2 linked regions of the Tribolium castaneum genome follow. The protein of the gene in region 2 interacts with the protein of the main gene of each other region in a biochemical or structural test. Links are inferred from orthologs where the notes say so. Each region holds a gene or a part of one and is shown on either strand. Other genes may lie near its edges.

The links.
Region 1: the proteins of dnr1 (region 2) and sel form a complex in vitro, tested with the Homo sapiens proteins (2 studies listed by BioGRID). The link is inferred for Tribolium castaneum from reciprocal best matches to the Homo sapiens genes MYLIP and CNPY2.

What each region holds. Positions count from the first base shown.
Region 1 is NC_087396.1:24,663,786-24,666,928, reverse strand, and holds sel (protein seele), read right to left. Parts: upstream 1,525-3,143; 5' UTR 1,309-1,524; coding exon 1,224-1,308; intron 1,167-1,223; coding exon 844-1,166; intron 792-843; coding exon 660-791; 3' UTR 597-659; downstream 1-596. Other genes in the region: STE20-related kinase adapter protein alpha, read right to left, coding at 1-86, 134-304. UniProt on the Homo sapiens protein: Positive regulator of neurite outgrowth by stabilizing myosin regulatory light chain (MRLC). It prevents MIR-mediated MRLC ubiquitination and its subsequent proteasomal degradation.
Region 2 is NC_087396.1:13,981,437-13,985,274, forward strand, and holds the end of dnr1 (E3 ubiquitin-protein ligase MYLIP), read right to left. Parts: intron 2,334-3,838; coding exon 1,329-2,333; intron 991-1,328; coding exon 769-990; 3' UTR 183-768; downstream 1-182. UniProt on the Homo sapiens protein: E3 ubiquitin-protein ligase that mediates ubiquitination and subsequent proteasomal degradation of myosin regulatory light chain (MRLC), LDLR, VLDLR and LRP8. Activity depends on E2 enzymes of the UBE2D family.

The sequences.
Region 1 (3,143 bases), about 11 Mb from region 2:
ACACACACTTCATGCAAATGCACAAAGGCCACAAAGTACTTAATAATGTTTGGGTGCTGGAACTGTTTCGTCAAAATGATTTCTCTCTAAAACAGATCAGTCATGCAGTAGCACTTCAGGGATGGTTTCACACCTCGACCAAGTGCGCTTCGTGTTTAATTCGGTCCATATTAAAGCGTTTTATGGTGACCATGGTGCCCGAAATTTTGTGTTTTGCCAAGTTGACCACTGCCATTCCTTCGAAACATTGGCCCAGAGTTGATATTGTCTCGTAAGCTGATATGTTTGCCTCATAATTAACCATTTTAGCGCTATTTTTTAGTCACACTATAAACAATTTTTTGTGACATATTTAAATTTGAAATGACCTAACCTAAAACTTGACCATTCTGACGTTTGGTCCGCAAAAAGGGGCAATCAATCGATGTTTGGCAATAAATTGTAAAACACTCCTATATTTCTTAAAACAGTAATTGAATGTAATGAATAAATAACGTCTTAATTGATAATTCACAAGCTTTAAAACAAAGCAACTTAACCTAGAAAGTGACAGCTGACGTTTTATTTGACATGTGCTAGGTTTCATGAAAAGGCCATTTCATTTTGATTTTTTATTAAAAGAATAAATATGTTAACATGGAAGCCTTAACTAGCATAAATCACAATTCTTCATTAATTTTCTTCCCACAAATGGCCGATTCTTCAACACACACCTTTTTGTCTACGTCCTCTGTTCCACTTTGGAAGTGTTTGATAATATTTTCTTCCATTTCTTCCATAATGCCCTCACACTAAAACGAATAAATCAGTCCAGCCGAATACCTAAAATAACGAGAAACATACGTAATATTTCAAACTTTTGTTTAAATCGTCATCTTGAATTAAATTCACTTCAGACATGTCGTTATTCATTTTCCCATCTTCGGTAATTAATTTCAACAAAGTTAAAGTTCCGTTCGATTTCCACGTCGCCCTTACATAATCGTCCATTTTCGTACAAATATCTTCGATCATTTCGGATAAATGAACCTCAGACTTGGCTTGAGAAACTGATTTGTGTCGATAATTGCCATCAGAGTCCAGTCTATAACCCCCAACGTCGACGGTTTTGGTTGGATCGATTTTATTCACAGCTTTGTGTAATTCGTCTAAACTAACTTTACAAACTGGAAATCATCACTAATTACAAAACACCATTACAACAAAAATCATTCATTCTTTACCTAAACACCTCAACTCTTGAGCATCAATTTTTTGTGCTTTTGTGTTGTAAAAAAAGAGTGTTACTAGAACTAGCGTTATTTTCATCTTATTGTCAGAACAATTTTGCACTTTTTCGGAATAAACTGGCAAGAATAATATTTTCGCGGCTCGCTTTCTTCAAAATAAAACTGGTTGACGTTCATAATTTTCTAATGACACGTTTCTACCTTCTGATTGGCTAAATTGGGCTTATGCTGATAGTGATGGCTGATAGTATTTGCTCCAATGGTATTTCCCGTAATGAAAATTATTTGAACCGAAAATCTTTCACAGTTATAATCCCGTGGTTTTTATAATGTAAAATTAAATCGATAAAATACATAACCAAACGGTCCAATAATACAGTTAGTTTTTGTAAGAATTATCTAATTGGGAATAATAATTGGATTAATTTGGGTTGAATTCTAACTAATTGGATGTTTCTGTTTTTTACGGTAATTTTTTACAAGTTTATCAGAAGTGTATTGGAGCCGTTTTGACTCGGAGCACAAACGTGACCCCATTTTCTTCAATTATTTATTGTCTGTCATAGAATAGAAGCACTGATTGAAGTGGGCAACCCAAAATACAATAAACCAAGTGAATTTATTTTTTTTTCAACTCTTATCTTTCTCAAAAAGCTCAAAAGCTCTTAAATATTAGCATATGGTATTTGTTTCAAGTTTCAGATTGCTACATAATTTTTTAAATGGAATTTATGACCTGTTTTAAATTTCCAATGTTCTCCATGCATCACTGTGTGTGTGTGTGTGTGTGTTTTTTTTTGATGTTTTGAATCCAAAAATGTGATTTTCAACTATTTTTATACACTCACTTCAGTTATTATTATTTTTTTAATTTTTCATTGTGGTTCTTATTGCCGAAGAGAGTGACTAAATTAATAATTAGTAATTAAAATGTGTCTTCTTGAGGTGTGTGTTATGCAGTAATGTTCACTGGATGTATATTCAACATAAAGTGGATTTATGAATTAATTGCATAGACAAGTTTTTTACTTGTTTTCAGATTTTTATTTAATTTTATATTTTTTATTAGCCTCTGCAGCCACGTAATCATTGGCACGAATACTTTTAGAAATTGTTTAGTTGATTAATTTCTTGTAGGTATAATTATTTTTAATAGTAATAAAAATGTTTAGGTGTAGTTTATTAATAATAATTAATAGACACAAAAAGAGTTTGAATCTTGATGTCCGGCTTAATAAGATTAATAACAGTCAGAGGTCAGTTTAAAACTTTTACATCTGCTACACGCTCAACTAATCCGAAAATGGGCACTACATTGTTCTTTGGCGGGTATTTTTAAAAATCGATAACAGCGCCACTGTTCTCTTCACATTGAACTATCAGAGCAAGCATCAAACAAACCTTTTACGGATCAGACAATTGATTCGAGGGGCGGTCGCTAGTATCCGAAACTGAAAAAATCCACAATATGACTAAAGTGTAATTTTTCTGGAATTGGGAGCTCATCCTGTGGCACGTCGTAATGTTTGTGTGTAGGTTTTGTGCATTTTGGTGATCAAAAACTTGAAAAATTTGAAAGTGGGCAAAGCGACCAACCACCCGAAATTGATGGACTCGTCCAAACAAGCTCGGAGATTTGAAGCAGCCAGTCAGTCGACAATCGGTCATCGTTTCGGGTGGTTCGGAACAGAATGTGTCAGAATTTTCTTTTGATGAATTCTAGTGTTTTCCAATTATTTCCCAGTGAAATCAGCGCGGATCGGTTGCAATTGTACGGTGCATCCCCGGCACCAGTCCGCACGGAAGCGCTTTCCGCGAAAGAGGCTTTTGTAAGGTGAGTGACATATTTTTAACTTTTCACATTGACACAAGTGTTGTGTAATTGCAATTCCCAATTCGGCGCCGCTTTTCCAG
Region 2 (3,838 bases):
TTGCAGATCTGGAAATGTATCATTAATTGCCTTTCGTACAAGGATAACCTTCCTGTCCCTTTATTTCTTTTTTTTTCTAATTCTCAGCAACGGTTATAGGTGTAAAATAATTAAACCATTTCAATTCCACTTACCTTTATTAGTAAATAAGGAAGGTTTTTTTTGAAATAAAACAACATAAATAATTATTGTAATTCCATGTTGACGTAAACGTGAATAGCAAAAAATTTAACAGATATACTCGTTATAATACTAATAACAAAATACTTGTAAATATGTGACATATACACGTCTACACTTTACTTTAACATCGATTAATAAAATTTGATAGTATAAACGTAAACTTAATTTTCCAAATGAATGCAATATCACAAAACAAAAATTTCTTATCACACATTTCTCATTATAATACTAGCATTATAACATTTTTATTATATTAACAAATATCGAAACTAAACCTAATTTACATCTTGCATTGATAATATGACTATTAATAATTCATGTCATTTACATTTCGATAGCTTTTGCATTTTCTTACTATTGTCAATAGTTAATAAAATACAACACTTTAGGTCCTTCATACTTTACATAGTAAAAAATAGTATGTAGATAGATACTTAACAATGTACAAAACAAACCTCAATATGAGATTTTGGTTAACAAAACATCACAAGAAAAGATCAAAAATTATACGATTGTCACTTGTGTACTCTGTCCACTTCCACAACTAAACTATTCGAGATCTTAGTAAAGTAAAAATGCAGTCTTTCAATTCGTAGTCTGACCCACCAGGAGGTAGTCAATGGGCAAAAACACCTTCTTCGCTTGTGCGATGTCGGAACGACAAAGGGGGCACCTGTCGCAGCGCGAGGCGCACGCCATGCAGGCCACCCCGTGCCCGCACGGCAGGAAAATCGCGTCGATCTGGCCGTCCATGCAGATTTTACAGGTCATTGCGTCCAGAAATCTCGACAATTTTTCTTGGGAATTCTGGAAAAAAGAAGGCAAATTAAACGTTAGTTTAACGCCAAGTAACAAAGTTACTTATACCCGCTGAAGAATAATCCTTATCGTCGTGTATAATACGACATTTTTTCTATAGCAGAACTTCAAGTTAAAGAGGAAAAAGTTATTGTTAAACCGTTAATCTTTCAAATTCATGTGATGGAATTTTTAAGTTTTAATTGAGTAAAACAAATTTAAAACATATTAGCTACCCTTGCAGTGCAGTGTAATGTATATAGAAATTAATAGTAGTCTAACATCTGCTATAGAAAAAATATACTATTTAAATAACAAAGCTGGTAGAACTTTGATTGTTACCCTACCTTGCACTCTCCCGCGTTGCCGTTGTAGTCGAGATTGGCGCGAGTGATTTCCTGAATAGTGTTTTCCAAATACAAGGCTCTTCTTGCATTGTCGTAGACTTCTCTGCAGGTCCTCCGAATATCGAACACGTACTTTTTGCCCAATGTGGAGTCCTCGTTGAAAATTGAAACAATGGTCCCTTTCAGATCTCGAATAAATTGTGCCGTTACGGCACTGCGAACCGTCTCGCAGCTGTAGAAGGCGTGTTTTTCCGTAATGGCCCGATATAAGCTACTAGCCACATGGCTAGAATCTAGTTTAATATTTAGAATAGCCCCTTCGTTATCGATGGTCAAATATTCAAGTTTAAAAGTGCGCTTATGGGAGGAAGCACTCGTTATGTTAGTGAACGAAATCAACTCCTTCTCCCCGTCCTTTTTGTAAATCGTGATGCCATGAGGGCCGATCCCGTACACCGTGTTGTTATTCTGGTGATTTTTCACCGTGAACGTCTCCTCTCCGAAATTCTCAAACTCCGACACTTCCTTCAAAAACCAATACTCGGCGGAAGAGCTCTTCATCCCTTTGCATTTTTTGTGCTCGTGGACGATCCTCTGTAGCAAATCTCCGGGTTTCTCCGACTGATCCAAAGGAGCGATCGTTGTAGCTAAATTGTAAATATTCCGAGGCGGATCAAGTTCGTTGAAGTCGCCACATTCAGCTTGAGCTATAAAAGCGATCAGTCTTGAAATGCTGGCCCAGTCCGGGGCTGTTAAGCGTTTTTCCAACAGATGAAGTCTCGCGTTGAGGTAAAACTGGTGACGGGTGCTTTCTTGCTGCAAGATGTGAGGAGGAACCCAGAACTTCACCCGCAGTGATAAGCGCAGATAGGACGTATGGCCGTGAAAAGTCACTTGCCGATCGATGGGGTTTCGTAAATTTAACCAGGATTCCTCTCCCTTGTGGTTTTCGTACTTCAATCCGAAGTAATCAGACTCGTATTGCACATTCACGAATTCGCACACCTGAAACAAACAAAACACGTCAGATATTCGATTATGAAAATTTGTATTGTGCCTGTTATGGCCGCCAAGTGTGCGGAAATTTGAATAATTTTATGCTCTGAATGATAATTATGGATGGATTAAGCAACATTTGACTCGAGCTAACTTCACTAATTCATGGAAATTTAATCTCGAGTCACTCGTTTTTAAACTCGAATAAAATCGATTGTGTAAATTTGTTTAAACAAAAAATCCTTGATATTTCTGCACCCCACTTCCTTCATTTATTATTTATTTTTTATTCGCATGCAGATAAACAGCTCCATACAACAGGAAAATATGAATAAACTCACAACTTTTCTAAAATTCCGTTTCAGTTTATTTTCAAACTAATATAAATTCAAGAAACTTGTGACTGTATTTCTCATTTACGAAAATAAACGAAAAAGATTCGCTTTGGCAAGCAAACTGTTTGGAAAATTTCGAGTTCGGATACAAAGATCAGGTCGGTCACTGTAACAAATTACCGAATAAATTGGGTCACTGAATACCTCACATGTTGACTGTCACGTTTTTCAATAGAATAATAATTAGGAACTATCTTAAGTAATAATGATCCACGGTCGCATTATAATGCCCCCATAATCGAATAATTACGCCCACTACGTAAACCAAATATTTCCAAACATTCCAAATGCAGATAGAGTGAGCTAATCACTAATCACCTGGTAATAACAATAAATCTCTCATAGCCCAAGCTATTTCAAAAACAAGAATTCAATTTTGAAAAAATGACAAAGCTTCAAAGGAAGACTCACTACAACTTCCAATTTGGTTTGACAAAATAAAAAAATAAATAAAATAAAAAAATCCAATTATTTTAGTTAATTCTGAAATTAATACTAATTCCAGCTAATTACACAAATAATTCACCCTGTATTTTTTACATTAGAAGAATAGCATAACAAAATATAGATTTAGCAAAAAATACAATTAGCTGGGGCAATATTAACTGTTTGTATTTAATATTCCCGGAAATTTTAAGCTCTGCTATGAATAATGGAAAACATAATTAAAAATCGCTGAACGGTATCCATCGAAAATTAAATATTTGTTAATTCCCTATAAATTGATTGAGTTTGTAAATTTCGAAAAACGTGAAAATCGAAACATATAAACACCTCTAATTCTCTCAAATTAGAGCTACAATTTCCTAGTAGTTAATTTAACAGTTATTCGAGATTTTCAGGATTTATATATAAATTCGCAATGAATCCTGGAACGTTGATGTATGATGTTTGCTACAATGAATAAATGTTTGCCTAAATCTCGCTGCGCATTATTTATCGAAATTTACAATCGGCACATGAAATAACAGCCAACGATAGGCAGATAAAGGACATCCGCACTCTTCGTCCTTTTGTCCTCGGCAACAATACCTGCTCTTTCCAATATCGTCAATGATAACAATCGTGCATCACAAAATGGTAATTGATTTCGCTCTAGTCCGATTCAATAAAATCCAA